Lepisosteus oculatus: one gene and its partners. The protein of the gene in region 3 purifies or fractionates together with the protein of the main gene of each other region. This does not show direct contact. Links are inferred from orthologs where the notes say so. Each region holds a gene or a part of one and is shown on either strand. Other genes may lie near its edges. The genes, in order: asb6, cops7a, cullin-5 and ankyrin repeat and SOCS box protein 13.

Region 1 (7,760 bases), on a different chromosome or scaffold from region 3:
CTGTGCCCACTCGCCTGCCCCAGCCCTGCACGCTCCGGGACCTCCTGGAGAACTTCCTGGACATCGCCAGCGTGCCGCGGCGCTCCTTTTTCGAGCTGCTGGCGGGCTTCGCCACCGACCAGCTGGAGAGGGAGAAGCTGGTGGAGTTCGGCACGGCGCAGGGCCAAGAGGAGCTGCACGCCTACTGCCACCGGCCCCGGCGCACCGCCATCGAGGTGAGCGAGGGCGCCGCACCCGGCTGAGCCCCTGCCCGCCGCGGTCCTCCGGTCCTCAAGAGGGCGCTGTTCTCTCGTCCCCCCCCCCCCCCTGCAGGTCTTGGCCGATTTCCCCCACACCACAGCAGTTCTCACCGTGGACTACCTGCTGGACCTTTTCCCCGAAATCAAGCCCCGCTCCTTCTCCATCGCCTCCTCCCTGCTGGTAAGGCTCTGCGCCGCCCATCCCATTCGCCTGCAGTTCCAAAAAATACCTCCCTGCTTTTTATAAAGTCATTTCTGTGCTCATTTGAGATGAGAGAGAGATCACTTTATCAGCCCTACAGAAGTTTTTGCATTAGGAATTTGTCTTTTCGCAGACCCCAGCTTGCTCTCCATGAGACACACAGACAGGGAGAGAAGCTGGGGGTCAGAGCGCAGGGTCAGCCATCGTACAGCGCCCCTGGAGCAGTTGGGGTGAAGGACCTTGCTCAGGGGCCCAAAAGAGTAGGATTCCTCTGCCGGCTGCGGGATTTGAACCGGCAACCTCCCAGCAACAAGGGCAGATCCTGAGCCACAGAGCCACTGCTCCGCTGCTCAAGTGGTGGTCGGCCGCAGGCTCAAATTTAATGAAATGTCAGTTAAGTAATGACGCGACATTGAGGTCGGTGAAGCGCCGGTTGAATGCAGAGCCATATCAAACCTGGCCAAAGAGGATAGAGGGTTGGTGGATGTTGATGAGTTGATGCTATTGAAACCTCTCAAGGGATCAAGGTCAAGACAGGGCACACGGGAGGCGGGGCAGATCTTCCCGGCACTCCTGGCTCTCCTGTTCTCCCGCAGGCTCACCCTGACCGGATCCAGGTGCTGGTGGCGGTGGTGCAGTACAGGACCAAGCTCCACAAGCCACGCAGGGGCCTCTGTTCGTCCTGGCTGGCCTACCTGGACCCCACACAGAGTAAAGTGAAGCGTGAAGCCTTGCGACGCGACGCGGTGCAGATCTGTCGCGTGACCGCCGAGCAGCGTGTCGTGGACTGGGGATGTGCTAGAATCCTGACAGTTTTAGAAGAAAACCCGGGCTGGTGTTGCATTTCTGACGGAGAACGCAGTCCAGCCGCAGATTGTCTGTCTGTGGGATTCTGGGATTTCCCAGCATTCCCTTCCTGTGGCCTCGTGTCGCTCTTATCTGACTGCGGAATGTCCCATCTTGCAGGGGAGGTGCGCGTCCCCCTGTGGGTGAAGAAAGGAGGCCTGAGGTTCCCCAGTGACGCCGACACCCCTGTGATAATGGTAGGGCCCGGCACCGGGGTGGCCCCCTTCCGAGCCGCCCTGCAGGAGAGGACGGCCCTGGACAGGACAGGTCGGTCCTGCCTCCCCTGCGGCTCTCCTCCCTTCTCCCTGTAGCTTTCCGTTCTGGATTCGTTCCGGAATTCCCACTGTATCTCCTCATTTTTCTTCCCCCCCCTCAGGGAACGTTCTGTTTTTTGGCTGTCGCTCGGAGTCCCGGGATTTCTACTGCCGCTCCGAGTGGGAGGAGATGCAGAAGGCCGGGCGTCTGACGCTCTTCACGGCTTTCTCTCGGGACCAGGTAGGCCGTTTACACGGCTCTTTCCCATACAGAGCAGATCGTCTACCAGAGCAGCCCCACCTGTGCAGCAGGTCAGGGGGAGAAGAGAGAAACGTCTCCAGTGGTTGAGTTCAGAGGGGATTTTAGAGTAGGCAGGTTGTTTAAGCCCCGAGTAGAATTGAGTTAGGACATTGGTGTACACCACTACTATTCTGACTCTCCAGTGACTGATTGTCCAGGACCTGGTGTAACTTCTTACCCAGAGGGGTGGCACCACCTCCTACAGCGCTGTGTCCGCAGTGACCATACTGGGGCGCCGGTTTAGAAATTCTGGCCCAGAGAGAAGAGCACCACCTGCTGGTCCACCAACACCACCTGCTTCTCAGTGATCTCAAATTCCAGTGCTGACCTGACCACACCAGGCTACTAGATCAGTGTTACCAATGTCTTCCTCCTTCCCCCCACACTCACACTCTCCAGAGTGCTTTGTTGCTTCAGTCTTGCGGTAGACTGTACCTGCCTCTCATGATCAGTCTGTACAGTACTGAGTGGTGCCGTCCAGTAAGCTACTGACAACCAATGAGCAGGATATACTGAAGCTCTTTCTCTAGTTAGTAACTGTTCTTATGTTTTCATGATGAAGTCCTAGAATGGCAGAGTGCAGAGGACAATGCAGAACAATACTGTAAGCAGTACTTGAGTATAGTGCGGTATATTACAGTGCAATAAAACAAGGTAACAGTGCAGTGTATTACAGGCTGAAAAGCAGAGAACAGCAAAGTGCGTTAGTGTCAGGTTCACTATAACGCAGCCTAGTGCCGTAGAGAGCATGGCCTTGCAGTGTAGTCTGGTGTGACGCCGCTCTGGAGGGGCCTGCCCTCAGTGCAGTGAGGGGCGGGGCAGCAGGGCTCACCTCTGGCTGTGCCTGCAGGAGGAGAAGGTGTACGTGCAGCATCTCGTGCGCCAGCAGGCCGGGCTCCTCTGGGACCTCATCGCCAACCGGGCCGCCCACGTCTACATCGCCGGGTGAGTCCGCCACGAACAATCCTGAAATATTCTGAGACGGCCATGTATACTTTCACTATGCTTGACCGCATTGTTCAGAATACAATTTACAGCCATTTCAAATGACATCAGGAAAATATATTACATTCCCTAAGATCTGATTTGGGGTGCGTTACAAACACACAAAAAAGAACATGAACAGAAATAAAATGCCACTCAGAACACTGACCTGCAAGGCTCTGAATAATCTGGTGTTTCCCAGCTCTCTCTCACCCTCCCTTCCATACGCTGTGTTGTTTGCACGCCGTGCCCAGCAGTAAATACCCCCGGTGTTGGGGCGCCCTCCCTGCGTCTCTTCGAGAGGCAGGTTCTTGGACTGTTTTCTTAAATCTGAACCTAAAACTCCGCTTTTTTGCGGGGGGGCTTTGTCTGCTTGTCTTACAGTGTGTCCTGCAAGGTCTGGTTTTATTTTTTTATTGTATTTTTAAAAATGCTGATCCTTACATATAGCATCCTTGGGGTTTGGAAAGGTGCCCTATATAAATTATAAATTTCTTCTTCTTATTATTATTAAAGAGCTCAGTGCAACGATGGCATGCCTTTAATACCTCAGCAGAGATCTAGCGCCGTCCTGTACAGCTCCTAAATCGCTCATCGCCAGCTCTGGCGGTCTCTCCTCTGTGTGTCCCCGGTCTCCTCCGGCCTCAGCAATGCCAAACAGATGCCGGCGGCTGTAGCCGATGCCCTGAAAGCCGTGTTCCAGGCGGAGGGGGGTCTCTCGGACCCGGACGCCGAGGCGCTGCTGTGTCAGCTGGAGAGGTCGGGCCGCTTTCAGACCGAGACCTGGTCGTGACCCGGTGCCGGGCGGAGGGTCACGCGTCGTGGGCGGTGAGCAGCAGCAGGGCGGCCCGCCGGGTGGCGCAGTGCTGGAGGTGCTTCCGTCTGAAGGGGTTCCCCTGCTCAGAGACTGGGGGCTGCATTGAAGAAGCACCCCCTATTCCAGCAGCCGTCGCCTGCTGTGCCACAGAACAGCCGCCGGCCGCGAAGGAAACACGTGTGAGGTCTAAACGCACGACTGCAAGGATCCCTGTAACTGAGTGCGATTACAGTGCACATACAGCATACGTGTGATCATATTAATGTAACTTTTATTAAATGATTTTTTTTATTTGTCTACTTATGAATTGCTTTTAAGGCTCTGGGGAGCACAGACCAATCATATGTTGTCTCAATGTGCTTTACTGGTGTTCTGGATTGATGTCTGTACACTGAATTTAAATAAACTGTTTAACTGTGCAATTCACTGGCATCTGGTTCACGTTGTTTGATGCATACCGTGCGAGCAATCGCTGGTGTTTATTGGTTAACGAAAGCCGTTTTGCAACAGGCTCATTTTGTAGCAGGTAATCGTGACACCTGCAATCGAGTTAAACATCTAAAGAGAGAATTTTGTAAGATAATAGCGCAGAAATCGCGCACACGCCTCTTCCGAGACAGGTATATCTACGTTTCAAATCACACGTAATTTTATAATAGGCGAGTCTGCAGGGCGGACAAACTTGATAGCGGCACAAAAATACTTCCGGGACTCTATCCAATAGGCAGCCGAGTTTTAGATTCAATTAACTGAGACGTCCTCTGATTGGTCCGTCGGCAAACACGGACAGCTGCAGTGTTCGCATGCCTCCGCCAGTCCGCTAGTGGCGTTTTCGGGTCCTGTGTTGGTGAGTTTGTGCACGTTTTGTAAATAAATTCGTAGTAAATATCCATAATATGAGTATAACTGTTGAATACCCAAGCTGGTGAATACTTGCTGGAATAATAAGTTAATAAAATATGAATGTGCAGCTAGCGGGCTCGCTTCAGTACCTGCGGTCCCCTCTGGTAATCCTCGCCTGTGTATTTTTGAAACCCCTTCACCTCTAAAACAGGTTTCAGTTGCCATATTTAAGAGTTAACGCTCGGCTGCAATGATGCGTTTAATTAGACTGTTTGTGTGTGTGTCTGGTTTATAAAAGCGAAGACAGGCGGCGGTTTGAATTCGGCGTGTTTGCGGCCGGTGCTCGTTCTCCGCTGTTGTCCGTGCGGGTCCGAGAGATTCGTGAGGAATGACGGCGTGGGGTTATCAACAGTAGTTAATTTCAGTGTTTTTAAAAAGAGACCATTACGCACAGGTAGACCCGGGCCTGTTACTGTTTTAGCACATTGTCCGGAAGGTATGGCTTCATTCACGCAATCCGGAGTTACACTGTATTATTATTATTATTATTATTATTATTATTATTATTATTTTTATTATTATTGAGAGACAGGCTCACTGTTCCCCAGGCTGGGACAGGAGGTCACACACTGTATTATTATTATTGAGAGACAGGCTCACTGTCTGTTCCTCAGGCTGGGACAGGAGATCACACACTGTATTATTATTATTGAGAGACAGGCTCACTGTCTGTTCCTCAGGCTTGGACAGGAGGTCACACACTGTATTATTATTATTGAGAGACAGGCTCACTGTCTGTTCCTCAGGCTTGGACAGGAGGTCACACACTGTATTATTATTATTGAGAGACAGGCTCACTGTCTGTACCTCAGGCTGGGACAGGAGATCACACACTGTATTATTATTATTGAGAAACAGGCTCACTGTTCCCCAGGCTGGGACAGGCGATCACATACTGGGCTGCCAGTTCAACTGAGTTCCCTCCCCCTTCTCCCAGCAGGATTGGGAGTTGTTGTGATTCTGGTAGGTGTGGAAATTCTGGCGTTAGATTTGTACATTTGGGGAAGAATGTCTAATCCCAGAATATTTGTCTCGCAGTGCAGTAGGAAGTGCACCTCTGTCTCTATTTCTCCCCGCTGGCAGTGGGAGCACAGCCTGTCCTCTCTGGACAGCCAGGTCAGCCTGTGTCCAGTTTCTATGGCCAGGCTGTGGTCACTGAGCCTGTCCTCTCTGGACAGCCAGGTCAGCCTGTATCCAGTTTCTATGGCCAGGCTGTGGTCACTGAGCCTGTCCTCTCTGGACAGCCAGGTCTGCCTGTGTCCAGTTTCTATGGCCAGGCTGTGGTCACTGAGCCTGTACTTCGTCAGGGTCTGTTTCTTTTTGCTGTTTCTTATCTTGGTCAAATATTCGGCTAGTGTGTATTGTCCGTTTAGGGTTCTGTAGAATTCCAGTTTATGTTGTGTTTGTGTGTGTGTGACCCAGTGTGTTAGATATTGCTGTTTGATCTGTGCTGTGATGTGCTTGAGTCTGAGCTGTGGTGCTCTAGCAGTGCTGTCCTGAGGTTGGCTGCTGTCGGTGTGGCTCAGGTCAGTGAGCCTCAGGACCAGCTGGCTCTGGGGGCTCTGTTTTGGGCTCAGCAGAGTCTTGTTGTGGTAGGAGTTTGGGTCGCATGTGCAGAGTTTCTATGGAGTGTTTTTGCCATTGAGTGTAATCCTGGTCTGAGATTGGGCCACACACTTCACTGCTGTACAGGGCAATGGGATGGATTACACTACCAAATATTTGGAACCAGATTCTTGTTGGTTGATGTTCAAAAGCTTCCTTTTTATTGCGTAGAAAGCCCCGAGTGCCTTCTCCTTCAGTGCTTTCACTGACGGATCAAAATTCCCAGATGAGCTGATAGTCAGGCCGGTACAGTATGTGTAGCTGGATGTGTGCTTCACTGTGTGCATGCTGTTCAGTGTGAACTGGCACCTGTTTCCCTGAGATCTGGCTTTCTTCTGGAAAACCATGACTCTGCTCTTGTCCAGATTGACCGGCAGCGCCCAGGTCTGACAGTCCTGCTCCAGCAGTGCCAGGCTCTGCTGTTCTAGGTCCAGATGGGCTGGCAGTGCCCAGGTCTGACAGTCCTGCTCCAGCAGTGCCAGGCTCTGCTGTTCTGGGTCCAGATGGGCTGGCAGTGCCCAGGTCTGACAGTCCTGCTCCAGCAGTGCCAGGCTCTGCTGAACTGGGTTCAGATGGGCTGGCAGCGCCCAGGTCTGACAGTCCTGCTCCAGCAGTGCCAGGCTCTGCTGTTCTGGGTCCAGATGGGCTGGCAGTGCCCAGGTCTGACAGTCCTGCTCCAGCAGTGCCAGGCTCTGCTGTTCTGGGTCCAGATGGGCTGGCAGCACCCACGTCTGACAGTCCTGCTCCAGCAGTGCCAGGCTCTGCTGGTCTGGGTCCAGATGGGTTGGCAGTGCCCAGGTCTGACAGTCCTGCTCCAGCAGTGCCAGGCTCTGTTGTTTTGGATCCAGATGGGCTGGCAGCACCCAGGTCTGACAGTCCTGCTCCAGCAGTGCCAGGCTCTGCTGGTCTGGTTCCAGATGGTCTGACAGTGCTGCTCCAGCAGTGCCAGGCTCTACTGGTCTGGGTCCAGATGGGCTGGCAGTGCCCAGGTCTGACAGTCCTTCTCCAGCAGTGCCAGGCTCTGCTGAACTGGGTACAGATGGGCTGGCAGTGTGCAGATCTGACAGTCCTGCTCCAGCAGTGCCAGGCTCTGCTGTTCTGGGTCCAGATGGACTGGCAGCGCGCAGGTCTGACAGTCCTCCAGCAGTGCCAGGCTCTGCTGTAGCCCCTGTTCTTCGGGCGACACCAGGACCAGGTCATCTACATAGAGCAGGAACTTGATCTCTGTGTGATGTAGTGTGAGACCAGGTGCTGCAGACTTCTCCAACATTCCTGCTAACTTACTGATCTCGATGTTGAACAGCGTGTTTGCCAACATTTTCCATTTTGGATGGCCGGTTCTTCTGATTTCCATTTGTTTAAAGTGTTCCACTTCTCCCAGAAGCAGTTCTGATTTAATAACTCCTCAATTTCTGCGAGTTGTTTCTGTATGTTTCTTTTCTTTTCCAGTGTGTTTGTAATGTTTTACCATTTCACAGTAGCCGAGGCACAGATGTGCGGTGTGGTTGTCTGTGCTTTTGAGTTTTCGTAGTGCTTTTCTGTTGTTTTTGCGCTCAGTATCAAACCATTTTTCTCTTGCGTTGGTTTTTGTGGTTTTTAGCTTTGATTT
Region 2 (7,815 bases), on a different chromosome or scaffold from region 3:
AACCTCTTGAGATGAGATCAGGAAGGGGTGTAGCAGGTGATGGCTGCCTGACTGGAAGACTTTGACTTTCCACCTATAAACTGGGGAATCTTGTGATCAATTGCTTCTCAGCCTAGCTTGTAAAGTGCCGACTTGGGAAGATCAGATCAATAAGAATTTCGGACGTCTGGGATCTAGCCTGAATAATGGATCTGCACAGTCACATTATGGCTTACAGTTTTTGGAAAGACTGTGGGGATTGAGGCTGGTGCTGAGTTTGTTGGATCTGGATTGTTTTAGGGATAATTTTGCTCTTCCCGAAGCATGACCACCCAACTAATGCCCAAGACTCGAGATTTGGGCAAATTCTAGCTTTAGTGACTTAGTGTAAACGTTAAAGACCACATCGGAAGTAAGAAAGTGCTTTATAAACCATGTAAAAGGGGCAAAGGAGTACATAAATATATAAATGTGGTGAACTTGCATGTCCTGAAAGGCAAAGCATTTTTTGAAATGCCGTGAAAAATAAACTCCACCTGATTTATGATGATGGAGGATTAGCGATGGAAGTAAACCTGTTGGGTGTTTTTATCCTTACTAGAATCATCTGCATCCTCTAATAAACTCGGGGCGATCTCACAAAATCGGTTGATGTCGGCTTGACGCTAGTGCATGGGGGATGTGGAACTACACCCCCCCAGTGGCTGATGGGAACTGTAGTCCTTGCCCGAGGGCTTCTACTAAGCTGTGTGTCTTTGCAGACAACGTGAAGGACTGGAGTAAGGTGGTCCTGGCCTATGAGCCTGTCTGGGCCATTGGAACTGGGAAAACCGCAACCCCCCAACAGGTAACATTGCTGATGTCGACTGCTCGACCCTCCGTAAGCGTTTAACGTTGTAAGGCTCATGTATTTCTATCGAATGGACAGCGGCTTTTATAGCTGTAAGACCAGAGCTGTTAAATCCTATACTTGGCCTCACGAGGGCTCCTCCTCAATTCAGCATGAGGCAATTCTCTCTCCTGCTCTTGATCTGCTGTGCAGAATGGCCGCTGTGTCACCCAAGCGCAGCTGCAGTTCGGGGGGGGGTTCCCCTCTTCAGGGGTTGCAGAGCAACACGAATCCTGCAAGGCAACTGCTTGGCTGGGTTTTCTGTGGTTTTGGGATGAACCCTCAGGCCCGTGTGCAGTGATGTTTTGGGCTCTTCCTAGCAGAGGAAGTTCTGTATTCAAAGGGGCTAGCGTAGACTGAACTCAACACCGCGTGCACAGGCTGGTCTCCAGCTCGCATCCTTGGGAGCAGTTGAAGATGCCTGATCTACCCCATTGTCTGGTTAATGCAGGGCCTCCCAGTGTCGGAGAGCCAGCCTGTTTCCAGGTTTTCTGTCCGGCTGGGCTTTTATCAACCTGAATGAGGCCATTGACGTATTCAGACCAGTTTTAACAGCTTCTCCCTGCTCCCGGCTGAGCTAGCAACTTCCTTAAGCCCTCTACTTAGGAGGCCCTTTACACAAAGGGTGGTGGGGGTAGGCAACGAGCAACCCTGCCCATGTTACTGAAGTCCCCACCCCGGCTTCTGGGAAAGCAGACTGGGGGAGGCATTTGACCCTTCTTGTTTTCTAACTATTCTTCCATTCGTTCTCCCCCCTCCCCCCCGGCATAGGCCCAGGAAGTTCACGATAAGCTCAGGCAGTGGCTGAAGACCAACGTCTCGGAGGCGGTAGCCAGCTCCTGCCGGATCATTTACGGAGGTGAGACTCCTCGTCCTGCACGTCTCCTCCAGTGTGGACGTACATTAGTCCTTCACCCCAAGCTTGTTCGATTTTCCCCTCCCCCGTTGGTTTTCCAGCAACCGGTCGTGTGTGGTTTAATGGTGTAAATGCAGCCCTGCAAAATGGATTTACAGCGGAATTGGCTCTAAAACGAGGGATTTGTGGGCTTAGCTTTATCATGGGGGGTGGATTTGATTAAGTCATCTGTAAAGGACTGTAGATGTAAATATCTCCATCTTCTACTAAGGATATGTCGGTTAGCTCCAGGTTAATGTATGTAAGGGTTTGCACAGTGATAATTGCCGTCTCGCAGTGCTGGGGCCCTGGGTTCAGTTCCTGGGGTGCTGTCTGTGTGGAGTTTGCATGTTTCCACTGGATTGTGTGAGATTTCTAGCAGGCTTTCTAAAGTTCTTGGTGCTCTAGGTTGTGTTCGTTCGGTGTTTCCCAAAGTGCTGTTTCCTCCTCTCAATGGACTCCCTTTCGCGCCAGGCTCCGTTACCGGGGGGACCTGCAAGGAGCTGGCCTCGCAGGCCGACGTCGACGGCTTCCTGGTCGGCGGCGCCTCCCTGAAGCCCGAGTTCGTCGAGATCATCAACGCGCGCCAGTGAGGGGAGGCAGTGATGAGGTCACAGCCGGGGATGGTGGACCCCGCCCCCCTTTTGCACTTACAAGCCCCACCCCTGTGATGTCACTTCCTCCATGTGTTCAGCCCTATAGCACTGCATAGATGGGCATGCTGCACAGACACTGCATACGTCATCAAGCACTTGGGGACAGTATACTCGACGTGGGTTCTTGACAACCACAAGTGTATGCTTTTGTGATCGTCTTGGATGATGTGTGTAGTGCTGGTGCAGTGTGATGTGCATAAAGTCTTGAAAGCCCGTAATTTAGTCAGGAATTGGTACCCATCTGTAATCCAAGTGTTGTAATGTTCCTTGTCTGCCAAGCACTGTCACCCTGAACTTCAAGCTCTTGCGTTCTGTGTTCCTCGCAGCCAGCCTGGCTCACGGCCTGGGGGAGCCGTTGGCTGGAAAAGGGATTATTAAACAAACGGTTTGATCGGAACCCGGTGTTGATTCCTGTTCTCTTGGGGGGGTAGTGTATATTCTGAAGGGTCCAATCTGCTACCACTTGCTGCTGAGCTGCACAAATCTCCATACTGCACAAATCCAGCTCTAGTCAGGATGGTTGCAACAGGAGCCTGGAACTCATTATTTTCTACAAGGCACCACAATGTCACATAGGTTACAATTATAATACTTTCTTACACAACATGTTTCTGGAGACTCCTCTCAAAGCTCTTCACAGGTCATGGGGATCCCCTCCCCCCCTACATAGTGTGCAGCCCCACCTGGATGATGCTCCAGTCCTCTCCCCACACACCAGCTCTCAGTGGGGAGGAGAGCCAGTTCAGAGGGGGGGGATTATAAGGAGGCCATGACTGGTAAAGGCCAGGGGGAAATTTGGCCAGGACACTGGGGTTACACCCCTACTCTTTTCAAGAAACGCCTAGGATCTTTCCTGACCCCCAGAGAGTCAGGATCTCATCCAAAGGATGGTACCTTTTTACAGTATAGTGTCCCTGTCACTCTACTGGGGCATCAGGACCCCCACAGACCACAGGGTGAGCGCCCCCTAGTGGCCCCATTAACACCTCTTCCAGCAGCAGCCTCGGCTCTCCCAGGAGTCTCCCCTCCAGGTACTGGCCAGGCTCACACCTGCTGAGCTCCAGTAGGGCTGCCAGCTAGGAGCTGTAGGGCGATAAGCCTGCTGCCAAAGTAGTTTCTCTTCTCATTTGTTGTTTTGGGGCTTTTATACAACATTGTCTACGCTGTGGAGAGCCAAGGATTCGAACCCGGATCGGCAGTGACCACAGCGATCATGTGGCATAGATTTATTTATTTTACAATACGGGTGCAATTTAATCACCGAAAGCCAGACTGGAGCCCAGACTCCTGCTGTTAGGCTTGGGAGATGCCCATGTCCCCCGTATTACCAGAAGGGTGCAGTAGGGGAGAAGGAATCGACATTTAGTCTAACCGGCACGTTTCTCCGTGGTGCTAGCTGAATGAACAGACCGTAAATTAAATTAACTGAGTGGTATGAGCACCTAAGCGGTTCACGGGGGCTACTACGTTTTTTTTGTCAGTTCTAGAAATTATGAAAAAGTAGCACCATAATCTGCCTGCAATAACTATTCTACTAAAGCCTTAAACTCGGTTTGTTTTTCGCGTTCTCGTCCCCGTCTCTAGCTGCGCTCTTCTTAAAAAAGAGCATCAGTGTCTGGGACGTGTGTGCACTGAAATTTGAACGGCTAAGTCACTATTTTATGAATGTCATAGAGCCCGGTGATCCACTATGGTGGTACAGAGAGAGAGAGAGACACCCCCTTCATTTCCATTCATTCTACACATTTACACTAGAGCAGCCCGCGTACAGAGTGGGATTTCAACCCGCAACCTTCCAGTTACAGTCCAAAACCGAGGCGGCGGCTGGAGACCTGGGCAAATCTTACCACTTTTTTTCCTGGGGTGTCAGTGGAGCCCTGGTCAGACAGCATCACTCCACGTGTGAATGCATCGTCACGTCTGGTGTCACTGAAAGAACAGCCGGAGGCATCGTTTTTAGAGTACTAATAAATTCATCATAAGCTTGTTACGAGTCTGCATTTTATCAAAATATTTTTTTAAAAAGCGTTCTGGAAGCAGAGACAGAGGACGTCGCGGAACTTTAGGATGTGAGGAAGCATTTTGGGGTGAATGTCAGATACGCCTCCCGGCGACTCTCTCGCCGAAACAGAAACGGGCTGTTGTCCAATCAGGAGAGAGGGATGGGCTGTCTCTCCGCCCCCCCAAAGGATCAAAACCAATCCCATTCTCGAACCAGACACAATGGCCCGCCTCCCTCTCGCCTCCTCCAATGGAAGGCGCCGGCGAGTTGTTGTTACAGAAAAGGCTACTGCGTGCGTGCGGCTGCCGAGATCTGGATTCCGGGTTGAAAAGTGACGCGATTTCAAGGTAATTGAGTGAAACAGCAGCCATAATGAAAGAATTAGCAAAGCGCACTCTCGTATCTCCTCTCAGAAACACATTGCCACCTTTTCTGGGTGTGCGTGCGTTAGAAAAGCAGTTGAGGCCTAACGAGGTCCCGGAAGCCTCGGGCTCAGGTTGATTCTTGCGCCGGTTTGCAAGAAAGCGAAACGAAGACGGTTTAGTTGGGTAGCACTGCTTACGAAAAGTAACTGATGATGAGATGGCAGTATTTGGCTCCGCTTTTTAATCGGTTTATTATTGAACGTTTTAAAATCAAATGGCTATATATGTGTGTGTGCATTTTATGGGATGTATTTCGGTCCAGAACAACGATGGTCCTTCTCATTACACTGTGAACGCACTGTGCATCCTCTTTATGATTGTATTAATTTCCTATCTCTCTCGCTCGAGTGTTTTTTTGTGTCTAGTCAGTGTGTTTAAGTAACCTCCCTTGAGCTCGCTGTTTCTACAGTGCATACATAGGTGAAAAGCTTTATAGGGTGTGCACTGTAGCTCCAGTGCATCATCCTACATTCCAGTACATCAGCCCATTGGTGGTAGCCTTTCTCGTTTCTCACAGCCTGCAGATACATTAACCAGCAACTCACCGCTGGCAGCTCACTGGAGCTCAGCAGGTGTGAGCCTGGATGGGAGACTCCTGGGAAAGCTAAGGCTGCTGCTGGAAGAGGTGTTAGTGGGACCAGTAGAGGGCGCTCACCTTGCAGTCGGTGTGGGTTCTAATGCCCCAGTATAGCGTAAAATATAGTGTAAAAAGGCGCCGTCCTTCAGATGAGACACAAAACCGAGGTCCTGACTCTCTGTGATCATTGAAAATCCCAGGGTGTTTCTCAAAAAGAGTAGGGGTGTAACCCCGGTGTCCTGGCCAAATTTCCCCCTGGCTTTTACCCATCATGGCCTCCTAGTAATCCCCATCTCTGAACTGGCTTCATCACTCTGCTCTCCTCCCCACTGAGAGCTGGTGTGTGGGGAGAGGACTGGAGCATCATCCAGGTGGGGCTGCACACTGGGGGTGGTGGAGGGGATCCCCATGACCTGTAAAGAGCTTTGAGTGGAGTGTCCAGAACAGAGCTATAGAAGTGTAAGGAGTTATTATTGTAACCCACCTTTTTCCCCCTCATCTTTCATCCTCTATCCCTCGGCTCCGTGTTCGTGCTGTCAGTCACCGAGTCTTTACTGCTCTCCTGCTCCCGGTCAGATGTCGGAGGTGCGACAGGTGTCGGTGGATCAGCTCCTGACCCTCTCGGGCGCCGCGCTGGCGGAGGCGCTCTCCTCCCTCCTGGAGACGCCCGGGCTCTACGTCTTCTCCGACATCCTGGAGCTGCCCAATGTCAGAGAGGTACTGACAGAGCCCTAGACCTGTACAGCCAGGCAGACAGATGGAGAGGGACTGACTGTCTGGCTGTTGACTGACTGGCTGTCTGGCTGTCTTACTGTACGACTGACTGGCTGTCTGGCTGTTTGACTGTACGACTGGCTGTCTGTCTGACTGACTGGCATTGTATGTGTTGTATGTAAACATCCTCTGATGTGTTTGGATAGTAAATGGCTTGTAGATGTTATGTGGATGGTGCACACTTGGACAGCAATGTAAGACATCAGTCATGCCAGTAGAGCTCGATGAATTTGATCAAATGACTGCCAAGCTGCCCGCCTAGGACGTTCACTCACTGACCCTCAGTCTAGGTGTGTGTATTTAAGCTGTCTCGTCTTCTCAGCTGGAGTCGGGACCTCATGCCCCAGTCTACCAGCTGCTCAACCTCTTCGCCTACGGGACGTACTGCGACTATAAAGGTCAGCCCCGCCGCCTGTGTCCCTGTATCTTAGCGCCTCGTTACACTGACAGCTCAGAGTCGGCAGTACACTTGGTGGGTGTGTTGGGGCGGGGTGTTTGCGCCAGTCTGTGTTAAACACCCTCTCCTCCTTTATCAGAGAACGCAGCCTCGCTTCCTGAGCTAACTCCTGCCCAGAAGAACAAACTCCGGCACCTCTCCATCATCAGCCTAGCCTCCAATCTCAAGGTAACTGCACTGTGAAACCCAGAGCACTGTGAAATGCAGTGCTCTTGCCCTGTCGTGTCTGATCAGTAAGTAAGCAGTGATTGTACTGCATTGACTGTGTTCTCTCTTGCTGCAGTAGTACTTTACTATGGCATTTAGCCAATTATGGTGTATTAACCTCCCTCTCCCTGCATAGTGAATGTAGTGCTGATGGTGAACTCTCGGTCTGTGCACAGTGAATGTAGTGCTGATGGTGAACTCTCGGTCTGTGCACAGTGAATGTAGTGCTGATGGTGAACTCTCGGTCCGTGCACTGTGAGTGTAGTACTGGTGGTGAACTCGCAGTCTGTGCTGTATTGACCATGTTCCTCTGCTCCTTCCCTCTTCCAGTGCCTCCCCTACTCCCTCCTCCTGCAGCAGCTGGAGCTGAAGAATGTGAGGGAGCTGGAGGACCTGCTCATCGAGGCCGTGTACAGCGACATCATCCAGGGCAAGCTGGACCAGCGCAACCAGCAGGTGGAGGTGGACTGCAGCGTGGGGAGGGACCTGGGCCGCCACGAGCTGCCCAACATTGCCAACACCCTGCAGGAATGGTAAGCAGCACCATGGATGACGTGGGGCGCTGGCAGGGAGCCCCGAAGGAATCGTGCAAGAGGAAGATGGTGGAGGGGGGGGGTAGCTGATTCAGTAGACCCGAGATCCTAAAAATCTGTTTGCTTCAGAAAAAAATCAACATTGAATTTGCCTTTCCACTGGAACGTTATCTAGTTTTTGAGAATTGGGGAAAACCTGACGTTCCTTTAATTTGCTTTACTTTTCCCTTTAGAAGTCAGTGTTGTGCGGTTCTGTCACTTTTAAGTCACAGTTCATTTTCAGCAGCAGCGGTGGGTTGGCGTCCGATTGACAGAACTGATTTCCTGCAGGACCTGCTCCCTGTGTTGTTCAAAGATTATTTTTTAAAATGACCAAAAGACACGATTCCTCTCATCATTTTCACCAACGTATGTCTTCTCA
Region 3 (7,409 bases):
ATCCTCACCCGAGACATCTATGAGCGAGTGAAGAGGGGGCACATAAGCATTCAGGAGGACTGGGAAGGTGTCAAAAGCGGTTTCATTCCAAACGTAGTCCACTCCTCCGAGGAAGCTGTAAAACCTGGAAGGAGGTGCCCATGCTAGCAAGTCAGACGTGAATTGTTCTTCAGCCAAAGACCGCAAATGCGACGGCGTGGGGTAGCTTAGTGCGCCCAGAGAAGACTGTGTGATGTCCTGTCAACAAGCTTTTAGATTACGCCATCCCGGTGCAGTCCTCTTGATCTGACCCAAGATGCTGTTCCTGTATTTAATCACTTGACTTGGGTTGTAAAACATTTCATAAACAGTGTAAAGAAATGCTCACCGTTGTGGTTCCCAAACGTTCTGAATCTATTGACTATAATTCCAGAACAAATTCACTTCTTTTAGGCTAGCTGGTTTTGTTTTTCCCATTTATGTGCGTGCATATTTTGTAAATAAACCTGAGGTTTTGGGAAAGAAGCTGCCTGAAAGACCAATATAGTAAAAACAGAGCATTTTTGATTTGTAACTCCAAGGTTGTTTTTTTATGTACATTTAACAATGCCTTTCTGTGAATGACTGTCTATAGTAATGTGCCTCCCTTCAGCAATAGGTCTTTGAAAGCAAGAAGCATCTGTTGTGATGTCAATTAAAGGGCTAAGAATGTATTTGAACAAAGTCGCTTGTCTAGTACCAAGAGAATATTTAAACAATTTGTGTTAGTGTTCCCCCTTCCCCCTTAATTCAAAGCCATTAGGAAGTCATTTTAAAACCACGAAAAAAAGGTAGAAAATTAAATGTGTGAAAAAATCTGCAATCTCGGATAAATTTGTGTGTAAAAACATTGATCCTTGTGAAACCAATTTTTATATAGGAATTGTCAGTTTCATGTGCATAACTTTAAGAGGATAGAGCTATACTTTTTGGTTTGTGAGAAAAATTGGCAGTAGGAACAAGTAAAGGTTAATTCCATGCTGAAAAAGAAATAAGAACGCCATCTCAGCAGCCTCTTTCAGATGTGGCACTACTTGTCAAGAGCACTTTTTCCTTACTGCCTGCAGCTCACAGCACCACTTGGGTGGCTGCTGCACTACACAATGAGGAAACCTCCCAGCCAGTGTGGATTACACACTGCCCCTTGGGGATTCCTAACCCAAGATGGCTGACAGTATCGCCAGGTTTAGATCAGCAAGATTGGAGCCCAACTCCAATCCACAGGAGTTGCTGTCCAGCAGGTTTTAGAAACTCTCCTTAAAAAAAAAACTCCAAAGACGAAGGAGAGGCTTCAACTTTTCCACTTAAGGAAAACAAGGAGTCCAATTGTTTGAATTTAAGAGCACAGGTGGAAAGAAAACCATAAAGCCTCTTGTCCTCCAAAACTCCAGGTTGTGCATCTCCTGCTCTATTATTTGTACACTCAAGGCACCTAAATGCAGCCTTCGACCAACAGGCTATAGAGTGTATCTATCCCACACCTGAGGATATGTTATTTTAAAGGGAAATGTATTGTTGCGCCAATGTTATATTCAAATAGGTGGAAAAAAGGGAATTGCGTTCAGAATGTCTCTATCCCTTGTAAGTGCGAGATTTAAAGCAGTGCATTTTTGGCTTTGAGGTACGGTTTCACAGACTCCAGAAGCCCTAGTCCTAGTATAACTTAACTTTAGGTAGCCAGAGACTAGAACTAATGAGAAACAGGCCTAAACGTATTTTGTGTTTTAGGACGATGTTCGCCTACAAAGAACAATGTTTCAGATTCTGGGACAGTAAGAATGAAAATGAGAATGTAATTTAAGGGACTTTAATGGCTAATGAGAGTGCAATGATCCCTCAGTGTTGTAGGGACTACACTCTGTGAATGTTGCCTTTTTGTGTCTTCCAAGGCTTGCCAAGAACGTTGCCTTAAGCAGATGGTGTTTTTACTTGCTTGAAAACTTGCATAAAGAAGATATGCATGATTGTGTGTTGTTCACTGATTAGATCAACTTTAAATTATTGCTTATACAAATGTGCTTAGATTGAGATCATCATGTGACTGTATTTAATAGATTACACACAACTTTAATATCATTAAAAACTCTAAACCAACAGTAATGTCTAGAGGAAATACTACTGCCTCTGTATTTCACAGACCACTGTTAAATGTGCACTTTTTCTCTTTCATGTAAAACTTTTCCTCATTAGATGGAAGATGCTTTGAATGGAAGCCAATTAAAAAGTTAAACTGCTATACTGTAGTTACTTTGTAATCTATTTGTTTTTTTTCAGTTATTTGAACTACAATGATTGTTGTCCACATTATATTTCGTTCTGCTGAAGTAACATTTCTCTGTCTGTCTGTTCACATTTCTAGTAAAACAGCTATATTTAGTGATAACACTATAGCATCATGCAGCTTGTGATGTGTAAAGGATGTCCTGGAGATTAGAGTTTTCTAAATGGATTTAAAAAATGCTTGCATAATCATGTACATTAAAAATGAACTGCCAGCATTTTATTGGTTTCGATGGATTTTTTAGTTCTTTATAATTTAGGACACTCAGAGACCAAGACTGAATCCACATCACACATGATGTAACACGTTATTCCAAATTCTAGGTATTAATATCTGACCTTAACGTTTTGTTTAAAAAATGGATTATTAATTCCTATGAACATTTAAAGTAGATTTATATCTGGGATATGCTGATCAATAGCTTACACAATATAATACTTTACCAAGGTGCAATATGCTTGCAATTTGATGTGGTTGTGTAAAACAGGTTTCTGCAATATTTATTTTTTTGCCCTACAACATATTATTTTAAAAAAGCATATACTGTAGTGTCCCCTAGTATGGGTACCATGTAATACCAAGTGAGAAGAGACATATAAATTATTCAGCGCTAACCAGAGATACAGAATCTCGTGAGACTCTTAAACATGAATTTGAAAATAGATATTGAAGGTGTCTATAAAGTAAGATTAACAACTATGTCTCAAAACCATTTACCTACAGAATAAAGGCTAATTAATCATTATATTTTAAAGTCCAGTAATCATTACTGCATAACTGAAATATTAATTAGGTGTGGAAGTATGTCAAGTATAATAATAAAAGTGGGTATGAGATCAATACTTAATTCAACTTTAGGTTTTATAAATTACTTAGAATTGTTTTACATTTTCTATAAAAGGCGCAAAGTGTAAAAATTGTTCACCTGAAAATGAAATAATTGAAAAGCAAACTTACCGCAGAAGCTTGCTTCTTTTAAGAGCCATTTTCTCTACAGAGTGTATTGTTGGACTGAAAAGGTTTATCGGTAAGGAAAAACTTCGGAACACTTTTTGTTTTTGTCTTCCGCATGATCCTTAATAGTTTGTGTACTTTGGGAAACTGTTTTGTTCACAGCAGGATTTGAAGGAAGAGGAGGATCTAAAAAAAAAAACTTGGCCCTCACTGCGGTAAAAAATGAACAGTTCCTAGAATTGAGGACTGCTGCGGCAGGTAAAAAAAAATGTAACGGCATAAAAAAAGTGTGTACACAGTAACTAAGTTAAAAAAACGGAAGATAAATTCATTGTTGAAAAAAACTTTAAAGACTTCTTTTAGCAATAACCCTGTTTCTTGGATACCGGCACACCATTTAATACAACAGTGCCACCTAGTGGACAACATCAAATAACAATTTGTGCAATCTGGTATTTTCATAATCATGTGAAGTTAAACTTGGGAAAAAAAACGTCTCCCCATTTCGGTTCTTGTCACTGATGACTTCATCTTAGCAAAATTTGCGTGTACGAGCTAATGCACAAAAGTGTGAGGAACAACCAAAACATGTTTTTGTAGCTGCAATTCGTCTACACAAGTCACAGGTTCCTCGACCACCTTGTTATTGGATCAGTAGCACTTCTGCATGCCTCTCTGTTCACACCATTTATAGGTTTTATGGGTCTGTTTGAAATTGTATAATTTCTGCCCCTGCAATACACAAGCCAGGCTCTGGATAATATAGTCATTGCAGTTAATGGACACAGCTCCAACTCGGAATCTTTCTTACGCTGTTTTTTTTTCTCTTGAACTGTCTATTCTGTACTGTTTCCCGGTCATGTGATATACCCTTGTATGGATCGACTTAGTTCGGCGAAGCTAAGTTTAGCATCCACTCAAATACATGACACGGTTCCAGTGAGTTGCGTTCGTGTTTTGAAGGCCAATGATTAAAAAAGGGATTGCAAATAACAATTGAATGCGTTCCACTACACCACATAATCAGTGCCCGATAACGAACTTAATATGGAATAGTATAAACTGTAATTTATAAAGGGACTATTTATATTTTAAAAACTTTGCCGACTGTATCTCAACATTACTCCATCTCTCAGGACCCCTTGGTAACTAAAGCCTTCGGAAATCTCGCGAGGCTGCGCGAGGGGATAAGTTGAGGGAACATGGCGACGTCTAATTTGCTAAAGGTAGGTGGCACTTCATTTTAATAATGATAGTATTTTGTGTAAGTAACGCTAATTCGTGATCGACTGTCTGCATTTTAAAACGCGGCTCTTTACAAAGACGGAGCGTTTGGGGGCAAGGTTAGAATACTACGTGTGTGCATATTAATAGAAAAGGGAGACAAAGCTATCTTTGGTGGTAAATATTATTGGCACTGGGTGGCTGATGTTCAAACTTACTTTCAGGATATGGGCCTTTTTAATTATACTAAAACAATAAAGATTTGTTATTTCTAAGTTTATTTTTATTTTTAGATATAATATACACCCTGACTGTTGTAAAATAACCAGCTAGCTGTGGTTGCCCGGATTTCTGTACGTGTTGTCAGTCTCACCAGGAATTCCGAGTTAAAATTAAAACAGTCGAAGCTTTGAGAGTGTTTTAAAGAGACACTGGATGTATCGGATACGAGTGGGGAAGTTCTATTTTATTAAAGGAGATTTCAGCTTACATAGCCTGTGAGCTTGTAGCTGGGCTACACGATGTACGCCATGCAATACAGAAATCCTAATAAATCATTCCCTGCTCTCAAACATCATGAGGATACCGGTGAGTGTTGAAGTGTGTATCGGGTCTTGTCTAATTTGAGACAGTTCGTATGACCACATATTTTTATTCTATGTTATAGATGTCAGAGCTCCTTAGTTTAATATTAAAGACTGAGATGCGTGATGTCATCTTTCCACGAAATTGTGAAGAATACATCGTATGCCGGGAAATTATGTAATAAAAATAACATTACCCAGTAGATTGTCTGAATGTAAATCCCACTGTGACAGTCGTTGAGGCATTAATGTTCAGTGTTAAAAGCTGCACTAGGCGAGGTGTGGGCACTAGACAAGCATCATGAGAGCTCGCCCAAATCTCTGCCGTTTCTCCTGCATTATTTTCAGCCACAATCTGGATTAAAAGCGCATACTTAAATAACTGTCAGCTGCGATTGACAAGGTTTGTTGTCTGTTATCTTATCCTTTGCTCTACCTTATTTTGACTTATCTTCCTAACATTAAGAGGAGAATGCAGAGTTTTTGCCAAACTTGTTCAGAACTGCAGCTTTTTGGGGGAAAAAATAATATCTAATATATAATGTAGGTTCATGTTCCGCAGTGGCATGCCATATAATGTCTAATACAGAGTTGAATAAACCCTGGTCTTGATGACTCACCCACCCGCTGGTTTGTGTTCCAGTTGAGGTCTTTCTTACATAATTAAGTCCTTAATTGACCTAATGGGATTAGTTTGAACTCTTTAATTGTTTTCTGTTACTTATATTCTGGAAGTTGCCTATTGTGTATGGCTAAGTATGGATCCCCACAGGAATTAGTAAAGAGAGGAATCTTTGCAAACTATCTCTCTCCTTGCAGCTCCAGGTCAGTGATGTGCATTCCTTATTTTCCAGTGCCATTTTTTAATGCATTCCAATTCAGGCCTAGTTAAAGCAGTTGCATAATGAAATCATACATTTATCATAGATGAAAGGTTTGGTATGGATTTAAAGTGTAATGCAAGCAAATTGGCACTACATCTTGCCTGTCGATGTGCAGCTCAAGTGAAGAAATCTGGGTTTTAGAAGAAGTTCTCCAGGCTTCAAGATAATTGAAAACACAGATCTTAAACATGTTTAAAATAGCACACTGTGACCCATGTAGTTATTTTATTTTTTAAACAGAAAAGTTGTGAGGTGTGATTGCATGCATTACCCTAGTCATCCGTAAAAAGATTAAATGGTTTGTCAAGGTTGATTGGGTCAATCACTTTTTGTTTTAAAAAAAGGATGTAAGCACTTATTTTTATCTTTGATTCCTGAAGTGTCTCTTCTCATCATAATTTTTTCAGTTGCCTGTTAAATTCTCCCTCCGTGCCAAGTACTTAACATTCAGCTGTACCCTCACTCCCCATGTTTCAGTTTGCTCTTCTAAATTGTATCCATTTGGAAAGCTGCCATTTCATCCCAGAGATACAGCTATAAAAATGCCTTTAGTTCCAGTTCTCCCTGAAATCATTTCTGTCCAGGTCACCTGTTGTGTATATCAGTGGAGAGAGTGCAGGGAACACTGAGATTTCTGAATACTGAAAGTTTCCTCCTTTTCCGGTGTGACTTGATTTTGAAGATGCAGTGTTAAGTGCCTCATTTCTGAAATTGGCTGAGTACAATGAGGATAAGGTTTAAGCATAATGCATTACAGAATTAAGCTGAGATTAAAATGGAAATGCAACTTTTTAAAAACTTTTAACAATGTATTATACAGCATAGAATTGTTGTGGGGGTGCATTCATGGTAATTCTCAGTGTGGTGCTGCAAATCATCATTTATTCCTCAAAGGCCTGTACCATAAGTACTGTACATATCCCTAAAGGGGAAGATGAACACCATTATTCAGACCAGTTGTCAGATCTACAACTAAATCACCCTTCTTAAATCAATCCATAGTATGTGCTGATACCCTAATCACTGTGCTGTTCAGTGCACGTGATAATTTTGTTTTTATCTGCAGGCCTGTGAGTAGTAAGTTACATAAACACCCAACTTTAATACCAAGCGAGCAGAAGGGATTATTTGAAGTTGACTACTGATGGTAATTACTTCAACCGAGTAGAGGCTGTAAATTCCAGACTTCAAAAGAGACAAGGCAGTGATCCCTTTAGGTATTGATCTTAAAATAACCATGAACATTAAAATTATAACCTCAAAAGCAACACTCTAGAAGAATGTTTGCAGTGTCTTATCGGATGCACAGCTTTGCTCCAGAGAGACAGTCAGTCGGAAAAGAGAGATTTTACGAGAGCCTGTTTTGCTTTACATGTGAGAAGAGAGGCAGGAGACTGGAGAGCATTGTGCAGCCAAAACATCCTCAAACAGTGGAGTGTACAAATATTTGAATATGGTCATTTG
Region 4 (8,377 bases), on a different chromosome or scaffold from region 3:
TAATGACATAAAATGTCATTTGAATACATCGTGCTTTTCCTTGCATTCCATTCATCCATTTTCAGTAACTGCTTCATTCTTGGAGGGACATGGACAGCTGAAATCTAATTTCCACCCGGCAGGACAACCACCATAGACTGGATACAGTTTTTCTGGATTTGAGTGGAGCGCTAGCTCACACTTCAGAAAGACTTTATATGGCCATATAATGCTTCTTCACTAATGCTTAGCAAAGTGTTGGCAGAGGCCACCAGGAAAAGAGCAGGTGGAAAGTGATTATATGAGCTCCTTTGCAGGAGGTGGTTACTATGCATCTGGACAAAAATCACCTGTATGTGACCTGGAATGCAAATGTATCTCAAAAGTAAATGATGAAGACCAATTTCAACTGTATCCCTTGTCTTCATTTCTCCTGATTTAACAGTATTACTACCTGTTACTTGTGTTTCTGTCTGAGACTTGTAACAGTCCCCATACAGGTTTTAAGAAAACGTGTAATGCCATGCTTAAAAAGATTTCAGAAGACTATGTAAAATCGGTAGTTGATGCTTGTCACGCTGGACAGGGTTGCAAAACCATTTCTATTTGAGGCTCTACACATCCATAGTCAAAGAGTCAATGAATGGAAATTATTCAAGATCATGGTGACACTACCCAGGACCAGTTGTTCTTCCAAGATCTCCGTAATTAAACCCAGAATATCGTCTAGAAGGTCACAAAGAACCCTGGAATAACATCGAAGGATCTACACACCTCTCTGATTGTGGATAGTGCCAGTGTACATGTCTGAGTTATCAGGAAAAGACTGAATTGGAATGTTTTTGGGGCAAAGATAGACAGTAAGAACTTACTGCTCTCTACAAAGGACATTGTCACCCTTCTGAAGTTTGCCAAAGAGCACTTGGACGATCTACAAGACAAGTGGAAGAATTTTCTCTCAACAGATGAGTCAAAAGTTTTCTGGTCACGGTAAACTTTTTTGTGTGGCGAAAACCATTACCTTGTCTTCCAGCAGAAGAACCTTCCCAACGTCTAGCATTGCGGTAGGAGTATCATGGTTTACTTTGCTACCTCAGGACCTGGGCAGCTTGTCATCATTGACGGAACCATGAATTTGGCATTGTATCAGCAATTTCTGGAGGAGAATCTCTGCCATTCGTCAGCTGAAGGTGAATGCAAAGTGTCATACAGCAAGACGATCTTAAACACACAAGCAGATCTACAATAGAATGGCTGAAGGAGATTGTGTTTAGCATTTTAGGGAGTGCAAGTCAAGGTCTGGACCTAATAGTTATGTTGAATGGTTATGGCAGGACCTTGAGAGGTATCACTTCCGTGGTAAATAATTGAGTGACTAATTCAATTAATACATTAACCTTTTCACTTTCATTAAAAGCAGTATAGATTTCCCATTATCATCTCTGAGTCACTTTAATCCATCCTTTACTGTTACCATGTCCTTTATTACTACGTTTTATTATTCTTTTGCTGTTGTAACACTGAGAAGAGATGTTATCAATTATTTTATCCTCTGTTGCAATTTCTGGCTTTTCAAATATCTTTTAGTATCTATGATGACTTCATTTCTATAAATGTCCTTTTTTAATGTTTTTGTTGTAGTTTTCCTAGATTGCTAAAACAATTTGCAACTGTGACTCACATCATCAAAACTAAAATGAGCAAAACAGAAACATTTCTTTTTGTAAAACTAAGTAATCTATCATTGCTTTCCCAGAAAATCCAAATGTCAGTCACCTCTTGTGGTAAACAATAAAAATGATGCTCTACGAATGACATAAAAATCAAGTAGAAATATACGGTCAAACAAAACTCATTTTTTCCCAGTTGATAATAATTACTCCCACGTGGGATTACTCCCATATGTATTACACACATGCAAGTAATCTTAAGCTAATTGTTAAAATATCACTCAGTTCATAATTGCACATGAAGAGGGTCACTGTTCAGTTGGAGATGGATGGTCAAAAGAGGAGGAAGAGGGGTACCACAACCCTAGGGGTGAAGAGGTGGAGGAAGACTGCAGAGAGTTGAGGTGCCAAAAAGAAATATTAATGGGCACTGTTGATCCTGGTCGTTCACTGCGTGAACCAGTGGCCAGGCCAGAGGCGTGTTCAGCTGTAGCATCAATTATTGGACTTGAGAATAGGTAAGAGATCGTATACTGTATAAACTTGATGGACAGTAATAAATTAGTAAATAAAATCCATTTTTGGAGTTTTTTCTCTTCTGAAATTTATGGAGTCATTTTTTGTCCAGTAGAAATCTATTTTTTTAATTTATAGAACTGACAGAAAACCCTGTCCTGGTGGTCAAGGCAAGGTTTTCAATGTTGAACAGGAGGCAGCAATTGTTGACCTGGTGCCTGCAAACAATGCCATGTTGGGTTTTTTTCAAAATCAACTTTATTGCACAAGATACATTAATCGTGCAATGAGTACATACTCTCGCAAAGCATAAACTCTCTAGTATGTTATAGTAAAGTTCTTAAAGGTGTTTCTCCTTTTTCAATCTGTGCACGTGGTTGCTGGGGCTTGATTTGCACAAAAAGAGTCCCTCCGAGACCTACCACTTGCTGTTGTCCGTCTCTTTTCCCTGTCCTGGAACTGAAACTGCAGTTGCCCAGTTCTCTGCAGGAGCTCAAATGAACAGGTTTTTCCTCCTTTCTCCCTATACAGGGCCCACAGTCCCTTCCAGCACTCCTTTGGTAACATTGCACTTCATTCTCCCTCTGAGGTTTGCAAGCATCCTCTCCTCCAGCTCCCTCGCTTCCCACTCTGTGCTGGAGAAGTGTTCCTCATGTTCCACAGTCCTTGTTTTATTAGGAACACTAGCAGCCATAGCAGGTATTGTGTCCCTTTTGTCTATTCCAATCGGGCCAGCCCCAGCAGTTTATACTGGCAGCTTAGCTTCGTTCCCGCTCCCAGGAGTATTGTCCATTCTGACCCATGCTGCTTTGGTGAAGAAACAGCTCCAGGACACTTTCTCCGGCATCTCCTCGAAAAATGTGTCCCAGGGGAATGTGGGTTCCTGGTGAGCGAGTGTCTGTAGCGGACCTCTCTGATTGCCAGCCTCTGGTACACGTCCATCCAGTTAAAGTCTTTTAACTTTTTGTTGAGTTCCTTTGGCTGCGTCCTTTCCCAGACTTGTCTGAGTACCTGCAGCCACTCTCTGGCAACCAGTTGGCCTCTCACCTCTTTGTACAGGGCCCTGTGGCTGGTGCAGAGCTCTGGTTGTCTCATGGTCTCTCGCCTCCGGATCCATTTGACAGGGTGGGTGTAGGTCTCCAGTCGCTTTTCCGCTTTTGGTTCTGTGTTTGTCACTGGATCAGGTGCCTCATAGGGAAGGAGAACCACAACCTGATGAAGTACTGGTACCTGTGGCTGAGCGAATCTCGCAACACCTGATAGAGGTTGCAGAAAAAGATGCAGTCGAGTTTTAGGGGGAAATCCAGCACGTCTCTCCCCCCTTCCTCGACCACCTGATGCATCCAGTTTCTTGTGACGTGCTCGTACCTGCCACTCTAGACAAACTTGAAGACCACTCCTTGCATCTTGCAAACAATTCCATATTCCTTTAATAGGCTTCTGGGAAATCTGGCCCTAGGTGTGATTGAGTATGGGTTGGTGTGTCTGCTCTCCGATGGACTGGTGTCCTGGCCAGGGTGTACCCTGCCTTGTGCCTGCTGCTTTCCAGGATAGGCTCCAGCTCCCTCGTGACCTACCTCGTGTAAATATCTTTATCCTTTCCCCTAGTAATAATTCTTTACACTTATATAGCGCTTTTCTGGACAATCCTCTCTAAAGGGCTTTACAGACTCCCCAACACCACTAATGTGCAGCTCCCACCTGGATGATGCGACGGCAGCCATAGTGCACCAGTCTGCTCACCACACATCAGCTGTTAGGGGGGAAGGGAACAGTATGAAGCCAATTCATACATGGGGATTATTAGGAGGCCATGATCAGTAAAGACCGATGGGAAAGTTTGGCCAGGACACCCCTACTCTTTTAAAAAAAACACTCTGGGATTTTTAATGACCACAGAGAGTCAGGACCTCGGTTTTACATTTCATCTGAAGGACAGCAACACGAAGCACGAAGACAGAAAGAAAGAAGATGCCCCCTGCTTTAATAGAGGGGAGGCTCGATTGGGTGAGCCTTGAGGGGAAAGGTTAGGGGTCACTGGATCAGTCCACTCCAGGGGGGTGGGGAGGTGAGCAGATTTCTACAGTATGTCATTGTTTTCCATCAGTCGTATAACAATAGGATTAAATAATGCATGAAGTGGAGTTTTATCAATGCCTTTTACTGCTTTAACATGCTGATCAGCGGGATCCGCCTGATTGATCTCTCTGTTGCCTATTCTTTTTTGAGAGACAGTGTGATTGAAGTAAAAACACCCACATCATTCTTATACATCAAGGTCTTTATATAAACATTTAATAGCGTTCAGGACTTACTGGGTTGTTTGTTTAGGTAAGGAAATGTCACAAGTGATGTTCTACAAGATTTAACATGAACATGCATTCCATAGCAAAAGCAAATGACCGTGTTAAGCACATTTTGAATAAGCAGTTTATATAATTGGTGTATATATATATTATGGCGACAGTCTGTATAAAACATTACCAGTAACAATCCGGGGGCCGTTTGTTCATGTCATTATAAACACGAGTAGTGAAATTTGAATGTATATGGAAAACAACAACCAAGCACTTTGCAATACGTTAGACATACCCTCGTCTAGAACCTTAAAATTAATGTGACACAAATTTATTTTTACGCTCGACGGAGAGCTTTAAAGTGATTACTTAAAGGTCTACTTCATAGTATTCACTGACCCCTGCCTTTCCCCATTCATATTTTGTTTCCCATATTGCCAGCTGTGCATATTTGCCAGCTCGCAAATCTATATTGTGTTTTATTTTCAAATCGTCAATAGGATAGTATCGGCAAATATTAAAAATATTTTTTGCATGTGCAAAACATTTCAGTTTGGAAACGTCTTGTCTTGCCAAATTAAAAAGGTTCATTTAGCAACAGTAGACGCCTGAAAATGTTCAAACTACTATTCCCATGAAGCCTTTGTGCACATTGTATCCTGTAACCCTTGACTTTGACGATTCAAAATAGTCGGACCACGTGATTCTTTACCATCAGTGTATAAACAGCTTTGTATGTATATTATACTAAAATAGTTTATTGTTTGGTTTTGTGCATAGCGGTAAAAGAACGCGTTAATGGAAACCAGCACGGCAAGAGTGAACATAGGAGACATTGGTGAGTTACACAGATCTGGACTAGAGTTCAGCTGTTCTGCTGTCCAATTTGAAAAACACACACCAGCTACCTGATTCCAATACATGCGTGCCTGTATAGACTCGGAGACCTTGTTTTGGGAACATGGGTTGCTTGTGATAGTCAGGAAGTAGTTCAATCTTATTATCTGCTAAGAACAACTACAACACTCAAGTAAAATATTATCCAGCTGTGTTTTTTTACTGCTTTAGGCAAGGATTAGGAATTCATACAGACGTGTATGTTACAGTAGTATTACAGTATGTGTGAAGACAGTTAATGTTCTATCTCGAAACGGTGTTATTGTATCAAAAGTGACACAGTCAAAGGTGTAATAAAAATAAGGCAGTTTAGCTTAATTGCATCACGATATACGCTTGAGAAAAGGCAGTCCGTGTGACGTTATGCAGAGTGCAATGGCTTGTTTACAAGGACAAGCTGTAAAACCGGTTGCACAAGATCTTAATATCTAGTTACAGGTTGTGAACCATGTCAGTGTGCTACTTCATGATAACAACTTGTAATGCCTGTGGCAATCTCAGGCACATCACTAGGTGCTGATAATGTTCCTAAGAGTAACATGTAATGGTGCCTCAGTTTGCAAGGTTATGATTCTGGTTTGTAAATGTTGTTTAAGTCAGTTAGGAACAACGTCAGAGCAAGATCGTAGTACCACTAATCTTGCCTCCAAAAGAACTGCTAGTAGTGACAAAATTATATCCGGCTTCTTCAGTAGGATACCACTGGCAACAATTTACTAAAGCACAGGTGATCATTGATCAGAAGCTGCTATTGCCATAACAGTTCAGGTGGGTAGCTGCATCAGCATGTGTAGGCTGTAAAGGAACAAGTAATAGGTTCATTCCATGCTGAAAAGAGAGGAAAGAAAACACAAAGTTTCGGCCATGGAGCCTTCTTCGGGTGTGAGAAAGACAGGGCAGTAAGCAAAGATAATGTAGCAGGAGAACAAAAGCTGGGAGAGAGGAGGGGCCGCAGGCAGGATCAGGGGAAAGACAGAGTGGCCAGTCAGGATAGGTGAGGAGAGGTGTGAAATGAAAACAACAATGAATAGAGAGAATTTAGAAGAAAATTAGTCTGTTGTTGGGAGAGGGGAAAAGGTGTGATCCTAACTGCAGGATAATTTTAGTTTCAGTAGTCTTTCTGATGTGGGAGTTAGGAAAACCATCTTTGAGAACACAGATGGAGAGATTAGTGTGATCATGGCTGTCAGAGGTGAAATGAGAAACAATAGCCTCGGAGAAATCTCTAATCTTCACAGCCCTAACATGTTCTCTGAAGCGATCTTGGAGTCTCCTTCCTGTTTCTCCAATGTAGATGCCTGGGCATTTACTGCAAGAGATACAGTAAACAAGGTTGCTGGAGGTACAAGATGTCATCTGAGTGATCCGGAATTGTCCTGAGGGGCCTTGAATAAGTGTGGTGTTAGATATGTAAGGCTGAAATATTGCCATAATAGTGTAACCACACTAGAGAAAGACCTGTAGAATAATGACAAAATTTGAATTTGTATTTTTAATTTGTTAAATTATATTGGGCTGAAATGTCCAATATTAGCTAACTTTAATTTAAGAATGCACTTTTATTTGTTTACTCAAATGTCTGTAAGCTGCTGTGTTAAGCTGGAGTTTTCAGTACTCAGTTCTTTTTTTATTTTACGTGCAAAAGGTTAAATTGAGAGCAACAGTCAACATTATTGACACCTGAAGAAGGCTCCACGGCCGAAACGTTGTGTTCTCTTTCTTCTTTTTTTCAGCATGGAATAAACCTATTACTTGTTCCTTTGCAGTCAACATTATTGTACATTTTTTAAAATTTTACAGACACAATATAATAAATGAGGTTTTTATCAAGAACAAATTTCCTGAATTCTACATTCCAACACTTAAGCCTGAAAATTGACCTTGAGTAGCCTGGTTTTGGGAGAGCCTGTCACATTCTGTATATTTGAGATCAGTAGAAGTAAGAGGTACAGTTTTCAGCCCATCTTGCTCATCTGGGTGTTAGTAACTAATTAATCTGAGCATCTTCTCTATTCTTTTCAAGAATTGCTAGCTTATTTGCTTGCCTTATTGCTTTTGCCTTTGCCCATAGGGTTCTGGGCTGATCGAACCGCAGTGCACGAGGCAGCCAGCCATGGGCAGGTCCTGCAGCTGAAGCAGCTAATCGAGAGCGGAGCCTGTGTGAACGTAGTCACCGTCGACTCCATCACGCCACTTCATGAAGCCTGCCTGCAAGGCCAGACTCACTGTGTCCGGTTACTGCTGGCAGCAGGTGCACAGGTGAGACTTAATCTTGATATTATATTGCCACACGTAGAATAATTAAAGGTTCACTGCATTTTACCTCTTGTCAAATCTGGCATAAGGAGGTCTACAGCATTATTTAGATGGTAAATAAAGGTATATATCTGGATGCAGTGAGAACATGTATTGTATCAGCTTTGTTAAATATTATTTTATTTACGTTTGTTATGAAAAAATGTTTTGAACAGTTGTTAGTGGTCTTCACATCACCATATGCAAAATTTTTGCCAGTTCCGTTTCCGAAGTACTTTTTGTAGTGACACTGTGAAACAAACAAGCAACGGATCAGCAAACATAGTCTAAAAGTGTTGAAGGATGCCAACTGATATTGAAATATCAATTCCGCATGCAGCGATTTCAGGAGAATTGGATTGATTGCGGTGTGATGTTTGTGTTTTTAGGTTGATGCAAGAAACATCGATGGCAGTACTCCTTTGTGTGACGCCTGTGCCGCTGGAAGTATAGAGTGCGTGAAGTTACTTTTAGAACATGGAGCCAAAGTAAATCCTGCTCTGTTTACTGCTTCTCCTCTTCATGAGGCCTGCATGAGTGGTAATATACACTTTACTGCTCATTCAAATCATCTCACCTGGTTTCAACCTCTCTTCTTTACAGTTGCTGCATGTGTATTGCTTTCCGGAAAAATATGATTCTCTTTGGATATGTGCTGTCCTCTGTCAACAGCCATAGCCAGGCAAAATATTCTCTCAGGCCATTTTAAAAATATCAGGCAAA

Evidence for each region.
Region 1: the proteins of cullin-5 (region 3) and asb6 purify together in Homo sapiens (affinity purification with mass spectrometry; 6 studies listed by BioGRID and IntAct, counting the BioPlex papers as one, with this or other methods). This does not show direct contact. The link is inferred for Lepisosteus oculatus from reciprocal best matches to the Homo sapiens genes CUL5 and ASB6.
Region 2: the proteins of cullin-5 (region 3) and cops7a purify together in Homo sapiens (affinity purification with mass spectrometry; 3 studies listed by BioGRID and IntAct, with this or other methods). This does not show direct contact. The link is inferred for Lepisosteus oculatus from reciprocal best matches to the Homo sapiens genes CUL5 and COPS7A.
Region 4: the proteins of cullin-5 (region 3) and ankyrin repeat and SOCS box protein 13 purify together in Homo sapiens (affinity purification with mass spectrometry; 4 studies listed by BioGRID and IntAct, counting the BioPlex papers as one, with this or other methods). This does not show direct contact. The link is inferred for Lepisosteus oculatus from reciprocal best matches to the Homo sapiens genes CUL5 and ASB13.

Annotation. Positions count from the first base shown.
Region 1 is NC_090719.1:2,800,235-2,807,994, reverse strand, and holds the start of asb6 (ankyrin repeat and SOCS box protein 6), read left to right. Parts: upstream 1-4,393; 5' UTR 4,394-4,490; intron 4,491-7,760. Other genes in the region: ndor1 (NADPH-dependent diflavin oxidoreductase 1), read left to right, coding at 1-215, 313-420, 1,038-1,554, 1,664-1,782, 2,693-2,787, 3,475-3,619. UniProt on the Homo sapiens protein: Probable substrate-recognition component of a SCF-like ECS (Elongin-Cullin-SOCS-box protein) E3 ubiquitin-protein ligase complex which mediates the ubiquitination and subsequent proteasomal degradation of target proteins.
Region 2 is NC_090718.1:2,551,316-2,559,130, reverse strand, and holds the start of cops7a (COP9 signalosome complex subunit 7a), read left to right. Parts: upstream 1-4,658; 5' UTR 4,659-4,768; intron 4,769-5,963; 5' UTR 5,964-5,999; coding exon 6,000-6,140; intron 6,141-6,519; coding exon 6,520-6,595; intron 6,596-6,733; coding exon 6,734-6,822; intron 6,823-7,191; coding exon 7,192-7,394; intron 7,395-7,815. Other genes in the region: tpi1b (triosephosphate isomerase B), read left to right, coding at 741-826, 1,640-1,727, 2,238-2,356.
Region 3 is NC_090700.1:10,146,244-10,153,652, reverse strand, and holds the start of cullin-5, read left to right. Parts: upstream 1-4,185; 5' UTR 4,186-4,455; coding exon 4,456-4,479; intron 4,480-7,409. Other genes in the region: ras-related protein Rab-39A, read left to right, coding at 1-147. UniProt on the Homo sapiens protein: Core component of multiple cullin-5-RING E3 ubiquitin-protein ligase complexes (ECS complexes, also named CRL5 complexes), which mediate the ubiquitination and subsequent proteasomal degradation of target proteins.
Region 4 is NC_090702.1:43,653,223-43,661,599, forward strand, and holds the start of ankyrin repeat and SOCS box protein 13, read left to right. Parts: upstream 1-5,152; 5' UTR 5,153-5,260; coding exon 5,261-5,300; intron 5,301-7,430; coding exon 7,431-7,618; intron 7,619-8,043; coding exon 8,044-8,194; intron 8,195-8,377. UniProt on the Homo sapiens protein: May be a substrate-recognition component of a SCF-like ECS (Elongin-Cullin-SOCS-box protein) E3 ubiquitin-protein ligase complex which mediates the ubiquitination and subsequent proteasomal degradation of target proteins.